Drosophila melanogaster: one gene and its partners. The protein of the gene in region 3 purifies or fractionates together with the protein of the main gene of each other region. This does not show direct contact. Each region holds a gene or a part of one and is shown on either strand. Other genes may lie near its edges.

The links.
Region 1: the proteins of CG3776 (region 3) and Lsp1gamma purify together in Drosophila melanogaster (affinity purification with western blotting; one study listed by BioGRID). This does not show direct contact.
Region 2: the proteins of CG3776 (region 3) and Lsp2 purify together in Drosophila melanogaster (affinity purification with mass spectrometry, with the first as the bait; one study listed by BioGRID). This does not show direct contact.

Annotation. Positions count from the first base shown.
Region 1 is NT_037436.4:63,825-71,386, forward strand, and holds Lsp1gamma (larval serum protein 1 gamma), read left to right. Parts: upstream 1-2,605; 5' UTR 2,606-2,690; coding exon 2,691-2,897; intron 2,898-2,962; coding exon 2,963-5,074; 3' UTR 5,075-5,171; downstream 5,172-7,562. UniProt on the Drosophila melanogaster protein: Larval storage protein (LSP) which may serve as a store of amino acids for synthesis of adult proteins.
Region 2 is NT_037436.4:12,125,841-12,133,420, forward strand, and holds Lsp2 (larval serum protein 2), read left to right. Parts: upstream 1-3,552; 5' UTR 3,553-3,569; coding exon 3,570-5,675; 3' UTR 5,676-6,029; downstream 6,030-7,580. Other genes in the region: Ir68b (ionotropic receptor 68b), read right to left, coding at 1-1,554; CG34241 (uncharacterized protein), read left to right, coding at 2,259-2,288, 2,345-2,563; DEF8 (differentially expressed in FDCP 8 homolog), read left to right, coding at 6,383-7,136, 7,189-7,580. UniProt on the Drosophila melanogaster protein: Larval storage protein (LSP) which may serve as a store of amino acids for synthesis of adult proteins.
Region 3 is NT_033778.4:24,966,740-24,972,971, reverse strand, and holds CG3776 (uncharacterized protein), read right to left. Parts: upstream 3,295-6,232; 5' UTR 3,226-3,294; intron 3,162-3,225; exon of another isoform or gene 3,160-3,161; 5' UTR 3,126-3,159; coding exon 2,772-3,125; intron 2,720-2,771; coding exon 2,424-2,719; intron 2,368-2,423; coding exon 2,226-2,367; 3' UTR 2,117-2,225; downstream 1-2,116. Other genes in the region: Phk-3 (pherokine 3), read left to right, coding at 1,668-2,033; RpL19 (ribosomal protein L19), read left to right, coding at 3,499-3,503, 3,748-3,854, 3,921-4,420; cGlr2 (cGAS-like receptor 2), read left to right, coding at 5,726-5,921, 6,112-6,232.

The DNA of each region.
Region 1 (7,562 bases), on a different chromosome or scaffold from region 3:
TTTATAGACATTGACGTCAATGCTTCAAAATGGGGTAAAGTGACAGGCAATTGAGCGAGCACTTTTCCACCCATTCGGACGCAGCATTATTAGCCAAGTTTACAGACACATTTGTCAATTTTATGGTGGCAACAGGGCGATGTATGGCTTTCAAGCTTTTTGGCGAAACGGCAATGCGGCATTTGCAATTATTATGAATCATTTCCGGACAGCTTTGTTGAGGGGGTTCAAGTGGTTGAAACATTTAATTTAGGAGGATTGAATGGAGAGGGGTAAGTTACCGTCGACGCATCGCGATGAGAAATTGTTTAATTCATTTTGCCAATAGGGCATACATTTTATATTTTTGTATTGAAATATTTTTTAATGCTTAATACCAATATGTATATGTATAATATACCTTAAATACTTCTTTCTATTTTCAGTTACTTTAAAAATATATATTGTGCCATATCATTAATAATATCTGAAGCGATTCGATATATAAACTATAATTAATATTTCTGGACATAACTCTTTTATTGACTTACTTTTATGTCAATATAGAATATTTAAAAACGGTATTTTGGTTCTGTCCAGTTGTCTTATGTTTTTGTTTCTATTTGATGATCGATGACGGCATCGGCTTGACCTCTCGGAGTACGTTTGATTTTATAGAACAAGTTTTCTCCTTTCTTATACTATAAGGAAAAATTATAAAAATTGCTGAAAATGAAACATGGCTAGAATTCGTTTTTTAACATTTTTTCAATCTGAGAAAAAATTTCCGATTAGTCTTAAAATAACTAAACCAATTCGTATACCCGTTAATCGTAGAAGAAAAATGAAATTCATATAATAAGTAGATGGATTTGCTGACCCGGTGAGGTATATATGTATTCCTGAACATGATCAGTAAACGAGTCGATCTGGCCTTATCCGTATGAACGTCGAGATCTCGGGAAATACAAAAGCTAGAAGGTTGAGATTAAGTATGCAGATTCTAGAAGAAGACGCAGCGCAAGTTTGCGACTACGCTGAATCTACTGCTAAAAACTGCCACGCCCACACTTCTTAAGAATTTGATTTATTTTCACAAGCTGAGGAACGGTAGGGTCGAGGAACTCGACTACAACGTTCTGCCTTGTTTATTTCTTAACAAAAACTTAGTAGCCGTTTGGGTTGGAAACCACCTGACCTTAGGTCTGGTAGCAGTTATTTAATTTATTTTTTTTATTTTATACAACTTGCTCGCTGTTTGTTCCCCCTAGCCCTGAAACACAAGCTGTCAAACGGTGGAGGTGATAAGTCTAATGAATGCGATAAGCTTTATTTCAATTCGCAATTTTCGTGTGGCATTTTGGCAAAAAAAAAAACTCGTCGGACATACATGTTGCCACAAACATAAAGTGAATACATAATGTTGGGTGAACGACTCATACACGATTGTGGCAAATCAAATTCTTTTAACACGGGACGGGGAAAGGCGAGTGAAGATATTTTAGCATATATTTAGCACATCTGTTAAATCCATTTTTTTACTCTCCGTTTTCGGCCAGATATGGTTAGAAAAGAAAAAAATTAGTACATACCCCCATATATAATAAGAAAAAAAGAGAGAGTCAGCAGAAGTACGGGGAGCTTAAGTGTAGCAATCAGAACATCACAAATAGTAAATAAATTAATAATAATAATAATCATATCCAAAAATATTTTTATTCCTAACCTATCGCATTGTTACATCGAGGGTGAAATTCAAAATAGACAAAAAGTTGGGGAATAAAATGTGAAAAAAGTGGTAAAATGTTTAATAGTGTGGGCGTTACTGTTTTGTCGGTGTGAGGTGCGTGGCCACCAAAGTGTTTTTGGTATAACGATAGAAATTGGTAAGACAAACAATATTGCGAAGAAAACCCGAAGCATTTTTAAAAAGTGCGAACGTGGCAGTTTTAAGGGTTTGTGGGCGTGGCAATAATTTTTGGCAATTCGATAAAAATGTACAGGACCAAATATATGAAGAAATATAAAATATTTTTCAAAATGACAGCCAGCAACCATACATATATATAAATAAATGTCGGAGACCCTTCCTTCTACCTGTAACATACTTTTCCACGAATCTAGTATTGGTTGATATATAATTATGCTGTGTATAAGACCAAAATCAGTGTACATTTCCATTGGATTCACCAACCGGATGGTTCCGGATGGTAATGCAAAATATTCATCTAAGAAACGAAAACACCTAGAATTAAACCTGAACTGATATGACTTATGCACATATCAGTGAGGTGGGCAGTTCAAAGCAATCACGATGCTCCAAGTTATTATCGCAGTGCAGTGAAAAATTCACAGTCACCGTCGCCAATTGCCAATAAAGATCGGCCATTATACAACAGAACCGCGTTGAAGACGATCGACGAGGTCGTGGGTCTTATCTTATCACCACCTGAATTGAGGCATGCCTCCAGAATGACGAGGGCATCCGAAGATAATGTGGCCCGCTATTTTCGGCCGGGACTGGACCTATGCGACGACCTATGCTGATGACGGGAGTCTGCCGCTGATATGGTGCAATGCAAGGCTCCAGTCGGGGGTATAAAAGACCCAGTTTCGGTGCAGTCAAGACAACAGACTTTAGGTGTTGGTCGTTGAGCGAACCAAAGCCGGAGCAGTTGAGGAACCAAAGAATAGCAGCGAGAGGACCAAGGATGAAGTTGACCCTTGTTATATTGGCTCTCGTAGCCTGTGTGACTGCCTTTAGCGTGCCCACGCAGAAGGTAAAGATCGCCGACAAGAACTTCCTGGAGAAGCAGAAGTTCCTCTTCGAGATCGTTCACCGTATTGATGAGCCTCTAATGTTCGAGGAATGGATTAAGATGGGCCAAAAGCTGATCACCGACAAGGCTCAATACGAGGTGAGTGCATTAAGAACATCACTTTCTTCCTGAAACCCTAGCCATTTCCTTGTAATTCCCCACAGACCTTCGATTTCTACATGGAGAAGCTCTGGGAATCCTACAAGCTTGGAGCCCTGCTTCCCAAGGGAGAGTTTTTCGGAGCCCTGGTCAAAACCCACCACAAGCAGGCCTACGGTCTGTTCAACTTCTTCTACTACGCCAAGGATTGGGAGACCTTCGTCCGGAACGTCGCATGGGCCCGCATCCACGTGAACGAGGGAATGTTCGTCTACGCTCTTACCCTGGCTGTCATCCACAAGCCCGAGTTCGAAGGTCTGATCCTACCACAGATCTACGAAATCTTCCCCCAGTACTTCTTTAACAGCAAGTTCGTGTACGCGGCCGAGAAGTTCGATTATGAGGTCTTCAGCAAGCTGACCATGTACGAGAAGGAGTACAAGGATATCCTTTACAAAGACTACAGTGAGTTCACCGGCAATTTCTATTTCTACACCAAGGACTGGAAGACATGGCAGTGGTACAAAATGATGGGTCTAGACCAGGAGTGGTACGTCGAGGACAAGTACTTCCTACGCGAAAACCTCTCTCAATTTGTGAACGATCCAAAGTACGTTGATGTTGTCAAGGGCCTAAAAAAATTCTACATGCCTGTGGACTACACCCGCGACATCGATTTTTTCAACGATGAAACTAAGATGACCTACTTCACCGAAGATCTTGGCTGGAATGCTTACTGGTACTACTTGAACATGGACTACGCCTTTTTCTTAAACGGAAAGCAGTTCGGATTGGACAAGGACCGTCGTGGCGAGTACTGGATTTACAATGTGCAGCAGATCCTGGCACGATACTACCAGGAGCGCCTGGCCAACGGTTTTGGCGAGATCCCCGAGTTCTTCTGGTACAAGCAAATAGAGTACGGCTACGATCCCCAGCTGATCTACTACAATGGCATTGGCTACAGCTACCGAAAGAACTACTATGACTTCTACACCTACGGCAAATTTGAAATGTACAGCCAAATCCAGAACTTCTTCAGTCGCGTCTACAAGGTCCTAGAGACAGGATTTTACAAAACCGCCGACGGTCAGGTGTTCGACCTTCACAAGCCCGAGGCTATTAAGATTGTGGGCAACTACCTGCAGGGCAATGCTGACACCTTTGACAAGTACTTCTTTAACTACTACTACTTGCTGGCCCATATGTACTTCGCTGATGTAGACTACAACGACATGGAGGTGTTCCCTAACGTTTTCCTGAACTTCGAGACTATGCTGCGCGATCCCTTCTTCTACACCTTCTACAAAAAGTTCACCGATGTGTTTTACACCTTTAAGTACTACCTGAAGCCCTACACCCAAAAGGATCTTTTCTACGAGGGCATTACCATCAAGGATGTCAGCGTCAGCAAACTGGTAACATACTACGACATTGTGGACTTCGATGTGACCAACTTGCTCAACGACAAGATGACGTTTGTCGACGGCCAGTACATATGGGACAAGGCTCTGTTGGCCCGTCAGGCCCGCCTTAACCACAAACCCTTCAACTTCGAATTCACTATTGATTCCGACAAGGTGCAGAAGGGAGTTGTCCGCGTGTTCCTGGGCCCCAAGTTCGATGAATACGGCCGCGTGATACCACTAGACTACAACCGAAAGAACTTCGTGCAGATTGACAGCTTTGTGTACCCCTTCATTGCCGGCACCAACACTATCAAGCGCAGCTCCAAGGAGTTCAGCTGGACCGCTGAGGACAGGATTACATACACCGAGCTCTACAAGTACGTGATGCTGGCCAGCGAGGGCAAGTACGACTTTCCCCTGGACATTAGCGAGCCGCATAACGCCTTCCCCGACCGCCTGGTGCTGCCCAAGGGATGGGAGCAGGGCATGCCCATGCAGTTCTACTTCTTTGTCTCGCCATTCGCCGAGACGTACGAACAGTTCTCTAACTTTGATTACACCTACTCCTCGGGAGTTGGCTCCGGCACCCGGTTCGTGGACACCAAGCCCTTCGGCTATCCCTTCGACCGCCAGATCGATGAATCCGACTTCTTTGTGCCTAATGGCTTCTTTAAGGACGTCAAGGTCTACTACGTCGACACCTTTGCCAAGTACTTTGAGAAGAAGTACACCCAGTTCGGCACCTTCGACTACTCCATTGAATACTAAGCCACACTGGATCTAGCTCTTAGCAATGTCGCAGGCAAAAAAACCAATACCAAAAAAATATATAAACGAATTTAAAATAAAGAAATACTGAATAATTAAATATTCATAATCTTGTTGTTCGCATCATTAACAAGCCTTGCCTTTTCAGATCACCAGAAACACAAAATGTCTTTTGCACTAAAAGCTAAGTAAACCCGCTTAGTGCCGTAACATGGGCTAATGGCGTTCGGCGGCGCCTGAGTCACATTGAAACCGAAAACTGGACGCTGAAATTTTTTTCTTCTCCTATTCTGCTTGTGGGAAAAGAAATATGTGTAATAAAACGCTGAGCCCTGAAGGCTAGTGGTCAAATACTAAACGCAGAAGGGCGAAGTCCTTGAGCAGGAAACGGCAAGGGTTCGTTAAACTTTCAACGCCAGCTAAGCCCGATACGAGTCCTGATTCCAGTCTCCCTTTTCTGCTTAGCTTCTAGAAGGCGTATGGCGATGGAAGGGAGGCCAGCTCGTGCGTTGCTTTCTGGCTACGCACATAATATCGACGCACTTTTTAAAAGTCTCTGGTTCCACCATTTGTATTTGGTGCGTCACTCCTGCCAGCTTATGGGTATCGTCTGGCGGTGAGGCGCAGAAAAAAGGAAATGTGAAAAGAAAAAAACGTAAAAAAAACTGCCTGAAGCAACCACCACATACAACATCAGCATCAAATGGAGTGCAGAGGGGAAGGCTTTAAAGTGGTATAATGTGGTAGCAACCCAGTCAAAGACCTAAACAAAAGAAACCCCAGACGAAATCTCGCCTTTTGCCCATGTGCGTGTGCGCTCCACTCGTCCCCCCAAGAGATTTGTCTAAAGCTCCTTGGACTTCCTGGTGCGTAACGCGATAGCCTGGCGCACTTCAATCAATTCAAATTCCTTGAGCTTGTCTTGGCCCCAGCGCTCACATTTTAATTGCCCGGCGGGCGGAGGTAGCTTAACCCATAAATTATAAACATTTGCCTAAACTTCTCACCTATATGGTTTCTTTTAGCTTAACCCATAAATTATAAACATTTGCCTAAACTTCTCACCTATATGTTTTCTTTTTTTCCAAAGTTAAATGTATATTAATGAAAATATAATTCAAAATAAATATCGCGAAGAAAGGCTGAGTTGAAAAATTGAGTTGACGTAAGCTCTGTCTTGATCTAGTTTAAATTAATAGTCAAATGCCGTATCGTCAATGAAAAATATTTTGGAAGCTTATTAAGTAACTAACGTTTTAACAACGATAAGTGTACACCACATGTGGCTTTTTTCGCCCCTTAACCTGCTTTTACTTGTTCATCTCGCATTTTTTGTTTTGTTTGCACAAATTAGCAGTCGACGACCCCTATATATATTAGTTTACGACCTGAGAATGGAAAAGCAGCCAGCCACTAGCTCGAAGAGCATGAATCCGGGTTTCAGGGGGGGGGGGGGGTCAGATTGCCGTTTTATTTCACCTTAAGGCTCTTTGGTTAGATGCCTGGCTGTCCAGACACGAATGAACTTAACTGAAGAGCTCAAAAGCCCCAGAGGGAAGTCCTTCGCTTGTCGCCTTATTGCACGGAAATATGTTGCCACAGTTTAAACCGCTCGAAATAAATATGCAAGTAATAGTGATGATCGGCTACTTAATTGTGCATTTAATATTCAATAATTATTTCATTACTCGTATGCCTTTCTTACTAAGGCTTTGTATTCCAACAGCATTTATAGCCCTATCGAGAGATTGGCCGCTCCTCTTTTTCTCAGGGTCTTCGGATTTCTAGTCAAGAGTTTATCTGAATACGGCTTCTGGCACTTGGCTTTTCACATTCTGATTCGTCTGTTACCCTGTTCCTGTAGCCCTGTTCGTTGACGTTAGTTTTTTTTTTCACTCTTTCCTCGGGTGCGGCACCTTTCGCACTGGGCTGGGCGTCCCCTTCACTACGTCCCTGGCCGAGCTGCTACACTAAATTGGTTCTTGCCCGTTCTGTTTTGGTAGCGAAGCTCACAACACAGAGAAGTTTTCCCGCCAAATGTCTCGAAATGGGGAAGCGAAAAGCAAAATAATCCAAAGCGAGCAGAACTCAACTCAACCGAGCCGACTTCAGCAGACAATAATACATGGTAAGTCCTAGGTCGGTTACAAAAACACCTCTGGCAAATGGCAACAAAACTGGCTTGACTCCACCACTAGCATCACCAGAGACCAGACCACAGAACTTGACGCATGGGAGGACAGAAGTTCGAAACCCGGACCGAGGCAGATGCGGGCCGAGGATGAGGTTGGTCGCTCCGTCATTGTTGTTCTGCTTTCCGCCGTTTCAATATAAAAATCAACAAACGAAAATCATCAGCAAATTGTGTGCACTGCACAAAATGTAGAATTTGACACATCAGGTTTATATTGTTTAGATGATTTTTAACATACATCATATCGAACTGCAAAATAAAAAACAAATTAACGACGATGTAAAACACATAAAA
Region 2 (7,580 bases), on a different chromosome or scaffold from region 3:
GATGTAGGTGCATATCATAGAGCGCAGATATTCCCGGGCGATGTGGTAGGCTGGTCGCTCTGCCTGCGAGTCATAGGTGATGGCCAGAAAGTCACGGGCGTGAAAATCCCGCATGATAAAGGCCGCTCGTCGATCCCTGCGCCGGACCACCGGCTGGTAATAGGATGTGGCTATTCCCAGTGGCAGCTGGCGACTACGGTTCTCCAGCAGACCGTATTGGTGCTCCGTCAGGGCGCTCCTAACTGCGTCATACATCGTGGTCACCGCATAAATGTGCACATCCAAATGTACCAAATCGTCCACTCGGTCCACCTGCTCCTCGTAGCTTGGTCGCACAAATCCGGACTCCAGTTTGGCAAAGTAGATGGTGGACAGGACGTAGCTGAAGAGGATCCAACCCATGAGGAACGTTCTCATCGAGCTGAAGGAGGATAGCCTGCCCGCCGGTTCACCCACATGTGTCTTGCCGAACATCTCGAGAATCTCATACCACGTTGCCTGAAACTGGATGACTCCGCGACGGGGAATTCTTCGCTGCAGACGTTGCATCACCCAGAAGACCAGCACCACAACCAAAAGGGTGACCAAGAGCAAGTACCACACAGTTCGCCGAAAGACACGCACGAAGATCAGGTACTCCGGCTGGATTGCGGAGGCGGGCACGACCAGGTGCAGGTTGCGACGGGTATAGGGATACAGCACCTCAACCGCTGGCCAAATGCAGTCGAGCACGAAGCGGGAATTGGGTGCAAAGTGGGTGTGACCACCGACTATGTCGCTGACCACGCCGGTGTAGTTTCCATTCGGAAGGCAACGACCGTAGGATTCGTTATCCTCCGGGAAGACATATGTTACTGAGGCATTCAACATCTCGCCAACAACTCGGGCCGCCACTCCATCCACTGCCTGATAGCCAGCTGTCTCCACAGGACTCCTGGGCATCGCCATCAACGGATCCGTAAACATGGAGAAACGCAATGGGTAGCCGCGCAAGTCCTTCACCTTTCTTGCGTACGGCACTTCGCCATCCAGCCGCTGAATCACTTGGAGACCACCCCAAGCAAAGGGATCAAAGTCAAAGGTGCCATTTTCCCTGCCGGTAATGGCCAATCCGTAGAGCAGCTTCTTGGCCCAACTGCCGCGAAAAAGTCGCAGTAACTGATGCCTTCCGGCATTTGGCCAAACAAACAGATACTTGTGCATATGCTTGCGCCTCTGGTGAGGATTCAACATGTCCAGGATGCGGCGTACCAAGGAATCACCCTTTTCGGCAGCCGGAATTTGAAAGATGCTTAGGCTGTCCGTTCGTCTAAATGGTTCCAGCTCATGTGCTTCCATGTTCCGTGTGATTACGGGCAGTCTACTGCCCACACACCGATAGAGATCCAATTCCAAGGCAGAGTAATCCGCATCGAAGGATGCCGGGCAGCTGGCACAGCGGTACAGATAGGTCACCTGGACATTCTGCTCTACGGCTATGCGACAGGCAATCTCGGCAAGGGCATAAATGCCAGGAAGATACCATTGGAGCAGCAATCCAACCAAAAACTTCATGTTCTACGAGCAGACTAACCAGTGAAATATCCTTTGGGTGAACACAACACCTGTAGAGGATTTCCCATGGGAGCCGTAATTCCCAATTAGGAAAAGCGATGCGTGAGCAGTTCATTAGTTGGCTAATATTTTTGGGGTAACTTGAAAAAAGTTATCAAAACTTGATTTCTACAAAATAATTATAAAAGGAATAAAAGGACATTACAGAAAATGAATGAAAGTAAACGGAAGGTTTGCAATAAAATGGGTTTTTTTTTATTTGAGTTTCTAAAAAGCAATAAGATTATGCATTTATAAAAGAAATCATTTTCTTTTGATTAGCAACTAAACATTTGAACAACATTTTGCATTAATGTATACTTCTAATGATAAGGTGTTGTTTATTCTAAATCGGATGAATCATATTTTGAAGACTTTGCGAATGACGCAGCAATGTGATCACCTTGAATAGACGAGACTCATATGTTCTCGAAGTCTGAATAATATAAAAATATATATTTCAAGATATACCAATACCAATTTCAAAACTTGAAACGCAAATCTAAAAAAAAGTATGCCATGATTATGGTTTCGGGTTTTCATAAACTATTTTCACCCGTTTCGGTTAGGTTTCTTTTCATATCTTTCGAGTAACCGGACAAAATCATTGAAAAATTTCTAAATTTTCAAAATTTGTTTATTTCGAATATAAAAGTTTTTTAACCATGGATAGGGGTACGTCTTCAAATCAGCCCGTAAGTATTTCATTTCTCTTTTGGTCTTTCAAATTTATCTCCGTGCTTTTCTGTAGATCCTGACCACCTGTGAGATGTATCCGCGCCGAAGGAACACGGAGTTCTACAGATCCCCGGAACCGAGAGTCTCCTGCCAAAACCAACGAGCGGAACATCCGGGGCAGATGCTCAACGTGACTCCCGACGAGAATCGGGAGGCCGTACGAAGACTTCCACGAATCCAGCCGCCAAATAATTTGGATAGTGTTTATCTACGCAATGGTTACTTTTCGTAAAATAAATTTTGTAGATTCTGTGTAAACTAAAATAAAGATATGTACGTATAGATATACTAATGAGATCATATGCATTTGCATAGAACGTCATAATTTCCTATCCTGTAATCATATATATTTTTATTTTGAAGGACATTTAATAGCAGTATAAAAACCGAGGACTGAAATGGGTCTGATTGATTGATATGTTCTCCATTGACCTGCGGATCATTCGATGGTCCATTGTTCTTTGTTGTCCGGGATTTGTTGTCGCAGCAACATGATGCTCCGTGTTTTGCAATTCGGAATATTTTTAGCATTGATAAAGAATCGATGCGGCGAACAAAGCAAACTTATCAAGGAAGCCGCCTGGTAACACCTCAATTGACAGGAGATCAGGTGGCCATGTAATCTTAATCACTATTTGAAATAGGTTAATCAAGGGGGCCCGTCAAACACCTGTTGTTGATATGTGTGAAAAAAGCACGATCATCAGTTTGAAATGGAAAAATGGGGAAAAATGAAAGTCATTACACGGCGACAAAATAGGTGTACCAATTCACGTTTTTAATGTGCTGTGGTATGAACTTTTTAAGTTGACAATGCAAGTGGGTTTGCTTATAAATAGTATCAATGTAATCGTGATATTTTGGGCATTCTTTTTTTTAGACTCTCCTATTTAGACAGCTGGAGAAGGTGTCTCTGGAGCGAGGAAATCTTAACTGGATCTTCCAGCTGCTTCACCTAACCACCAGTTTCTAGTGGCTCACTCTTGAATTTAGATAATGATGTAGGATTGATCTTGGTATGGCCGCCTAATCGTCGGTCTTATCACCTGCAATTATGGATGCAGCATGGGCGCTAAGATTGAGAGCTTCGCGGGTCGTTCAGATCCGGCGATGGCGCGGATCAAGGCTACGGATGCGACCGGTCATTGGCCGGATTGCAATCTGCGTATCGCCGATCCGGGGGTATAAATACTGGCTACCGATCATTGCAGCGTTACGATTCGAATCGACTCGAGAAGATGAAGTCGTTCACGGTGATTGCGTTAGCTGCAGTGGCATTGCTGGCTACTCTCGGCCAGGCCAAGCACCTGGACTCCAAGGTGGCGGACAAGGACTTTCTGATGAAACAGAAGTTCATGTACCAGATCCTGCAGCACATCTACCAGGACGATGTGTTCACCACGCCCTTCGGGGGCAGCTACGTGGAGTACAAGCCGTGGGAGCACGTGGCCGACTATGTGCACCCGGAGATGTTGGAGCACTTCTTCGAGCTGTGGCAACACCAACCCTTCACCGATGACATGGTGTGGTCGGTGATGTACGACAAGCACGAGGAGTATGTGGTGGGTCTGGTGCGTCTCTTCTACTTCGCCAAGAACTGGGAGACCTTCCAGCACGTCGTCTACTGGGCCCGCCAGCACGTAAACAAGCAGTTGTTCGTGTACGCCGTGACCATTGCCAGTTTGTTCCGTGATGATATGCAGGGAGTCGTCCTGCCGGCCCACTACGAGATCCACCCATGGAGCTACTTCGATAGCCAGGCACTGGAATGGGCTGAGCACTACAAAATGCACGGCTTCCATCATGTCAAGCAGATGGACAACATCTACAACGTGGTGATCCGTACGAACTATTCGAACGTGCACGGTTCCCTGAACTACGATCACGATTTGGCCTACTACCTGGAGGATGTTGGCTTCAATGCCTTCTACTACTACTTCAATCTGGACTATCCGTTCTGGACGAAGGGCGGCGAGGAGCATGTCCTTAACAAGGATCGTCGCGGTGAGCTCTACCTGTATGTCCACTGGCAATTGCTGGCCCGTTGGTACCTGGAGCGTCTGTCCCACGATCTCGGCGAGGTGCCCGCTTTCAACATGTATGTGCCAACCGAATCCGGCTATGCCAGTAACCTGCGCACCTACTACGGCGTACCCCAATGGCACCGGGAGAATCACCACAGCTTCTACCACGAGCACAACTACGAGCACATCGAGCATGTGGAGATGTACACGCAGCGTGTCATGGACTGGATCCACAAGAACGAGAAGTTCGATGTGGAGACCATCAATGTGCTGGGCAACATCATCCAGGGCAATGCGGACAGCGTGGACAAGAAGTTCTACGGCAGTCTTGACAAGCTGTACCGCTTCATTGTGAACGAGGGCCACCATTATGGCCATGGTGACGAGAGCTTCCCTGGCCTTTTCATGCACTACGACACCTCTATGCGCGATCCGATCTTCTACGAGGTATACAAGACCATTGTCAGCCACTACTGGCATCTGATGGAGACCTATCCGGAGTACCACAAGAAGGATTACGCCTTCGAGGGTGTCCACATCGATGCCGTCCACATGCCCGAAAGTCTGACCACCTACTTCGAGCACTTCGACTCGGACATCAGCAATGCCGTCAATGTGGAGCCCGCCGTTGAGGGATCCGCCGATCCGTTGTACACCTTCGGCAGGAACTCCCACTACAAGGGATCCAGCTATGTGATCAAGGCCCGCCAGCAGCGTCTCAACCACAAGCCCTTCGAGTTCACCCTGGACGTGACCTCGGACAAGGCTCAGGATGCCGTTGTGAAGGTCTTCATTGGACCCAAGTACGATGAGCACGGACACGAGATCCCACTGGAGCACAACTACCAGAACTTCTTCGAGCTGGAGCACTTCAAGGTGCATCTGGAGGCGGGCGTTAACCACATCAAGCGCGCCAGCGGTGACTTCTCCTTCTGGGTGAACGATCGCACCACCTACCTGGAGCTCTACCAGAAGCTGATGGACGCCACCAACAGTGACTACAAGTTCAAGCTGGATCAGTCGGAGGCCCATTGCGGCGTGCCCAACCGAATGATGCTGCCGCGCGGCAAGAAGGGCGGCCAGGTGTTCCAGTTCTTCTACATGGTCTACCCGTACCACCAGCCCGAGGTTGCCCAGTTCACTGGCTACGATCCGGTGGTCAGCTGCGGCGTGGGACACGGTTCCCGCTACGTGGACGCCCTGCCCTTCGGTTTCCCCTTCAACAGGCCGGTGAAGCATGACTACTACTTCGATGTCCACAACTTCAAGTTCGTCGACGTGAAGATCTTCCATCGCGACGAGCACACCAATGTGGTCTAGATCCTGGACCCAACGAATACGAACCCCAAAACGAACCAACGATATTGGATAGATTACATATGTTTTCCTTGTTATATCTTTGTCTGCATCCACTTACCCCATAGAGATCGTAATTTAACTCAATTTTTACCCAGCTTGTCAGTCCACCTTGTGACCATCGAACAATAAACGTATTCAACACAAGTCACTCTCTTTTCAATTTTTCAAAATATATTTTTGGTTTTCTAGTTATTTTCCTCTACTTACAGAATATATGTAAATAGAAGGAACAATAGAATAAAGGGCTTATTGATACTAGTTTTAAAGCCTACAGTTTTTAGCAGACGAATTTTCAAGTTAAAAATAGGCATTTTTATCTGGAATAAACACAATAGATTGTTAGATTTCTTAAATTACAATTTAATATTAAATGGTAAAATATGGTAACAAAAATATTTGCTTTATGCAAACCACGCTTGACATATTTCAGAATATGGTTTCAAATTGTATCATATTTTAAAAATATTAAAAGTTAAATTCAAAATATTTATAAATAATTAACCCTCACATTTTTTCTTTCACTGTATTAAGGTGCATTCCAGGGATGCGTACAACCACCTGCAGTTTGCCCCGTGAACGATAACTAGTTCGCTCATCTGCACCAATTGCTCGCATCCCTGGTCGCTAAAAAAACACACAAAGACTTGTTTTGTTGTTCTTCCCCAAAAATGAGCTCCTGGAAGGACAGTCTCACGAGCATTCCGGGCACGGTGGCGCAGTTGATTAACGAGAGCGCCAGCAACCTGTTACACGCCTCATCCACGCTGGGATCAACAGTTGGCCTTGGAGGCTCTGGCTCCACTGGATCTGGATCCGAGGCCGGAGGCTCCGAGGAAAGTGGTCCACAAGGTGCGGAGTACAGGGCGTTGCCCATTCCCGCGTCCTTGGTGCGCGAGCAATGGCGCCTAATCTTCACCAGCGATGCCAATATCCAGGATTTGCAGGCGGCCATCGCCCATTGCAGAGATCTCGTCCTGCTGAGCGAGGAACTCAGCGAGGAGCGTCGCTGGTTGGTGCGGCACCTGGTAGATTTGCGATACTCACTGCAGGAGCTGGAGGAGGCCCAGGAGCAGCATTCCCTATCGTCGGACATGGTAGTTATGAATGCCATACGTGCTGTGGTGGGTCATCATTTTGTGCCCCATCACCCGCATCATGGCAAACGGAATCGTCTGCAGGCAGCCGCCAAGAGGAACTACTGTGACCACTGCACCACCATTATTTGGAGTGTGGTGCAGAACTCGTACGTGTGCAGCGATTGCGGATTCCTGGTCCATCAGAAGTGCATCGATGGCGTGAAGAGGGTTTGTGCCCATGTCCTGGTTTCAGAGCGGCAGCATCCCATTTCGGAGATATGTCCAGAAATCGGACTCGCCTCCCAGGGATACAAGTGCGCCGAGTGCGGGACGATGCTAAATATAAGTAAGTTAAGGCTACTCTTTTGGTTCCGAATAATTAGACTCCTTCCTCGTAGAAAATACCTGGATTGAGCCGCGTCTATGCGACTATAGTGGATTGTACTACTGCCCTCGCTGCAACTGGAACGACAGTAACTTTATACCAGCCCGCATTATCCACAATTGGGACTTTTCGCCACGCAGAGTGTCGCGCACGGCGCTCCAAGAGATTAGGTTGTTCCTAAATAAACCGCTCATTCGCTTGGAGGAGGACAATCCCAAGCTGTTTGTGTTCGTAGAAAAATTGTGTGCGGTAAAGAAACTTCGCCAAAATCTGGTGCATATGCGCCACTATCTGGCTGCCTGCAAGATTGCCAGCGAGTTGAAGCTGGTGGATCAGCAACTGGGTGTCCGGCGACATCTGGCCCAGTCAAATGAGTTCTATTCCCTAAGTGATCTCAGCCAGGTG
Region 3 (6,232 bases):
AGTTTTTTTCCTTTCCGATCGGACTCTCGCGATTTACATAAATCAATACGAACCCCCAGCGCTCGGGGCTAAGGATGCCCCAATTTAAATGTTAATCACCGCGGACAAGCTAAAAGTTGTTTGTTTAATTGGCACGAGAGTTATGTCACAGGTGAAGAGTCAGCGCTGGTGATTTATTGACCTCGAAGACGAGACGGAGCGGAGCTGATCCACCGAGCCAGCCAATCAGTAGAATCGCCTGCGTCAGAGTCGTAAAATGCTCATAATTATACGAGGGTATGAAGTGTATTTTGGCTTTATGGCCAATTATTGTTTGCCCCACCATACTAGTAATTTCGGGCTGCACCGCGCTCCATTAGCGAGATCAGTTCCAAGTGCGGACGACCGCCAATGGTGGTCGCCTTAAAACCCCCAGCAAGCTGTCCGAATTGTCCACCTGGACAGGGGTAAATCCCAATTACTAAGGCAGACCAGTTGGAATCGGTCGAGCTACGCCAAAACAAAACCCAATAACTCTCGCCCCGACCGATGAGCTTTCGAAATCTGGTTCAGTCTAGACTGGTGCGTGCGATTCATGACGCCAAAGATAATTAAAAGGGAAATGGAAATGCATAAAAGTGATTACAACACAGCGACAACAACTCTAGCACTACCAAATGCGGTCGTTATGTCGGGAAAGAGTTGGACACCCAACTCCAAGCTGATCCAAGCCGATTCAGCAGCTGTGAGTCTCGGAGCCACTAAAACCAACTGGCAAAATCAACATGTAAATTTCAATTTTCACGTACGTCAATGTTTTTCCTATGAATTTCGTACGTGAACGAGTAAACAAACGACCAGGGTCTGAGAGATAAATCTGTGATAAAACTCCCATTCCATTCCACCCTTTGAACCGCTGGCCCGAGCATCGGACCACTTGCCGAAATTCGGCTGAAAAAACCTTAAGTCAGTCATCGAAAATCCGGTTCGGTTTGCCTGCTTTGGGTCTACGCTGGGCCGCGACTTGGCCAAACCCGCCGCCTGCTCCCTGCCTGCTAAAGCTCTGGATGCCAGAGAGCTGACCATTGCGCTCAGTGTACGAGCCGCTAAAGCTCCTGGTATAAAAGCGAGGCCAGCGAGCTAACAGCTCGCAATTTGAGTTGCGCCTTTGATCGTACCACAACTGCACCCGGGCCACCGAAAATCACCGGAAGAGAAGTGAGTAAGCCATTGTTCAAGCCGTGGTTCGTTTGCCCTGGTTAGGCCGAGCACCCGAGGAATTGAGGTGCAGCACCCATCAAGGATTGCGAAAACCAAACAGCTGGCCACGGGCTAGCATGGATTCGGATATTGGACGCAAATAAGTCGAAAGCTGCTAAAACTACGTGGTGTCGGTGAAATTGTGAAATCTTTTCAAAAATATTAAATCCAAACGATTGCCAATTAGTATGCATATGCGATATATATGCCAAGGGCCATAAATAATGCATGAGCTGGTGGGCAGACCACTAACCGCTTTGGATGATTCTTTGACATGCGTCGAAAACACAGAAAAGCCGAGACTGCCTGACGCCTTCTTATTATCCGCTTACCCGGCAACCAAAAATCCCTCATTTTAGGAAATGTGTTTCGTGGCTTACCTTTAATAATTTGAATTTCCCACCTGCCTTTCCAGATAATCCTCCAAGATGAAAGCCTCGCTAGCTCTAGTGTTCTGTGTTTGTGTCGGTCTTGCGGCAGCTGCTCCTGAAAAAACCTACACCAACAAGTACGACAGTGTCAACGTGGATGAAGTTCTGGGCAACAACCGAGTGTTGGGTAATTATCTCAAGTGCCTGATGGACAAGGGCCCATGCACAGCAGAGGGTCGTGAACTTAAGCGCCTTTTACCCGACGCCCTTCATTCCGACTGCTCAAAGTGCACGGAAGTCCAACGCAAAAACTCACAAAAGGTAATCAACTACCTTCGCGCCAACAAAGCCGGCGAATGGAAGCTCCTCCTGAACAAGTACGATCCCCAAGGCATCTACAGAGCAAAGCACGAGGGACACTGAGCGCTTTGCTTGTCCACCAAATGCACTAATTTCACATGAACCTAATTTAAACCAGAGATCCACAGTAAAGATTTTAGTTTTTTATACCTAAATGCGGAAAACGAAACTTTTATTCCAACGAAGGCGGTGGCTTACGCCAATATATGCTATGAGTCGGCGAACAGCGCGGATGATGGTAGCCATGGGCCGATGTTATATGGTCTCGTTAATAAGGTCGATGGCCCTAAACTGGTTGGCCACATTTACGGTCCAGTCCGATTGGTGTCCAGCGGTGAACTCCTTTACAAAACGGTAGTTGCAGATGAAAACCTTATCCTGGTACTCGGGAAGGGTCCTGCAACAAATGGGTATGAGGAGCTCAGCTTTCGGGCAGTGACAGTCCAAACTTACCCCATGTTCCAGGGTATTTCCTCGCCGCGTTCCCGCATCTCGGATAGACCACGCATTACGTGAAACACCATGGTGATCTCTACGAAACGCTTCTGCAGCTTGTCGTTTGCATCGTCAAACATAATACCTACCTGATAGGGAAAGCTGAGGTATATGTCGCTCTCCTTGATTTCTAGCTGCCTCCGTTGCGTCATTGACAGTTTTTGGATTACCGGTCTAAGCTCTGCGATCGCCTCGGGCGAGACAAGATTGTCCAGGGAGTCTAAGTCGCCGCCCATCAGTTTTGAGGATACTACCTATGAGGGAATTAATATCATTACACTTCATGATAGACAAACCATGACGCACCTGCAGCGCTTGCTTGGCGCCGTATATGAAGTCCTTGAGTTGAAACTCGCTGTCGAAGTAGGGTCGAATTATGAACTGTATGGTGATCCAATTTTTTAACGAGTTAAGCGCCGATGGCCACACGATCTCTGGAAAGTCCATTAGGCGAGGCAGGCGGTTAAGGCTCTCTCTGGCATTCTGCTCCTTCTTGTCTTGCTCCTGCGGCAGCGAGGCGAAAGACCGACTGACCGGTTGTGTTGGCTTCGAGATGGACCCAGCTTCCTGTCCCCCGGAGGCTGCCACTGTGGGTCTGGGCTGCAAACGCATCAGGGATATCCGGGCCATGCCCAAGCAGCGTATAAGCGTGTGCTGCATTGCAGAAATTGCACTCTGAACAGCTGCAACTGGGCTAAAAAGTTGTTTTTGTTTTTCTTAGCCAATTTAGTGTGACCGCAAGTAGATAAATAAAATATACCAAGCTTCGTTACTTAATTGCTCTAACTTAATTCGAACAATATAAATATGGCCGGATCTTGCACATCCAAGCTGCTGGAAACCGCACAAAGTAGTTGTTATTAAATATTTTTTTTAAATAAATCTTGCCACTCCGCTTAAACTAGTACATCCCCGAGGCGTTGCCAGACCCCCGAGTACGTTATCGATGTATCGATAGCACCCTTCAGAAAATGGTGCTGACTTCCGGCTGTCAAATTTTTCTTTCTTTCCTAGCCACGACGAGGTCGACAGCATGAGGTAGATTTGAGTTCGCAAATATGAGCGAAAAGTTGCGCTCGCGGGGTCTAAATGTTTGCAAAGTGTGCCGGGCGAGCGCGTGCCGTATGATGCAGCTGCCGGGCGGACAAGTGCCATTCTGTTTCCCGGCAGTTGTGAAATAACCGAACATGCGACGCTCATGCACACACACACACAAGCTGATAGGCGCATCCCAGCACGCTACTTTCGAAATGATGGACTAACAAGTTACCCTCCTTTGCAGTTCTCTAAAGCTCCAGAAGAGGCTCGCAGCCTCCGTGCTGCGATGCGGCAAGAAGAAGGTCTGGTTGGATCCCAATGAAATCAACGAGATCGCTAACACAAACTCGCGTGAGTAGAAATGGTCTAAATGGTCGAATAGACAGCCCAGCTAACTGTGTTGTTAACCCATTCCAGGTCAGAACATTCGCAAGCTTATCAAGGATGGTCTGATCATCAAGAAGCCCGTCGTGGTCCACTCCCGTTACCGTGTGCGCAAAAACACCGAGGCCCGCCGCAAGGGACGTCACTGCGGATTCGGAAAGCGTAAGGGTACTGCGAACGCCCGCATGCCTACCAAGCTGCTGTGGATGCAGCGCCAGCGCGTTCTGCGCCGCCTGTTGAAGAAGTACCGCGACAGCAAGAAGATTGACAGGCACCTGTACCACGACCTGTACATGAAGTGCAAGGGTAACGTATTCAAGAACAAGCGCGTCCTCATGGAGTACATCCACAAGAAGAAGGCTGAGAAGCAGCGCAGCAAGATGCTGGCTGATCAGGCCGAGGCTCGCCGACAGAAGGTGCGTGAGGCCCGCAAGCGCCGCGAGGAGCGTATTGCCACCAAGAAGCAGGAGCTCATCGCCCTGCATGCTAAGGAGGACGAGATCGCTGCCAAGGCCGCCACCGCGGGTCACTAAGCAGTCCGACCTCGCTAGTCGAGGAACTCCATATTGATAGTACTGTTTATCGTCTGAATAAAACACCTTTAGTTTGGCCGAAATGATTTTGTACAAACGTGAAACTCATGCTTATTTTTTTAATGGCTTTCCCTGGGAGCAGTCGTAAGGGAATTTGGTTGAATGTGACTTGTTAATTCTTATTCCCTTATGTTGCATTTCATTGTGAATTCAGATTAAAGACGGTGATTAAATTCAAAATATTCACTTCCCTCGTTTTAATATCCTCAATACCCCACAACTTCAAATGCTTAAAAAACTTTAATATATTGGTTCTTGCGACTAGCTTTTTGTGAGAAGTATTTTGGCATTTAATTCGTTAATTATGCCAGGTAATGGATTCATTTTACAAGCAGCGTCAATTATTACTCAGAAGTTTAATTGTTGTATTATCCTAATATATTTTACTTTAAGGTTACCCATATTCCAAGCTTAACTGAAAATAAGCTGGCCCTAACTATGTAGGATAACAAGACGTCCCCAAAGCTCTAGAATTCTATATGCATTTGTATTCTTGAATTTAAATCCTATGTATAATTTAAATAAAAAGTCAAATAAATGTATAGTAATAAATAACTGATGAAAAAAGTAAAAAAGGTCATGAAAAACCGCTAATCTTTGATGTAAATGCCAAATGTCCCCTCCTTCAATATGTATATGTATGTAGGTAGTGAATAAATAGCGGTAAAAGAGCGATGAACCGTGATTTGTTTTGCCTATAATAATGCGATTAAACAGCGGTGGCTATAGCGGTGTTTTTGTGATGTTTTTCTTAGGGATAATTTCCTGGGACATGCTAATGCTAAAATCATCGTTTTTTATACAAAATGCGATCGGTACTTTTACTGAGCGCTTATTTACTACCGAAAAACTGGGCAATGCATCTTAATGCTGTGTTAAGTCGGAAACTTAAAATAGGCAACCGTATTTAATATACTAGTTTAATTAGTTCGTTTATACCTAAAGTAAAAATTAATTTATTTTTTAGTATTTAATCGATTGTATAAAAGATATTTACTACCGAAAAACTGGGCAATGCATCTTAATGCTGTGTTAAGTCGGAAACTTAAAATAGGCAACCGTATTTAATATACTAGTTTAATTAGTTCGTTTATACCTAAAGTAAAAATTAATTTATTTTTTAGTATTTAATCGATTGTAAAAAAGATTCCAGTGTCTCCAGTGTTCGCTAATCAGCAAACCTTATCTTTAATTGTGATTACCTTCATTGGGATTATTCACTCATCAAATAATATTGTAGAAAAAATGAAGGAGTCTAGAAATCTTGAAAACTTTGTGGAAAAAAAGCTCTATGAATGCAAAAAGAAGTATGTTGACATTCCAAAGGACGAGGGACAACGATATGGTAAGCACTATGAAGCACTGACATCTAAAATCTTTGAAATACTGAGAAAGGAGAATCCAGAGCTGGACATCATTATTGCTGAGTTCAGTTTGGAAGGTAAGTCATTCACGGGGCTCAACTTCACATAACTCCATCCAATTTCCGATATATGTATATTATCGGAACCATAATGATAAAAAAAAAGTCCGGTCGTATTCGTGTATCCGCGCTTCGTACTCGTTTCCATCGCGATCCCTCCGCGCCGCGTTTCTCAGTCATTACTTACCGCGCAGCTTAAATTCCGCAGGCAGTGTCGGGGATATGTTAAAGATCGCGAAGCCCAACGAATTCGATTTGGTATTTAAGTTAAAATTTCCGTACTACAAAAGCATCGCCGTGACGCGAGATCCGAAAATTCCGGGCAACGT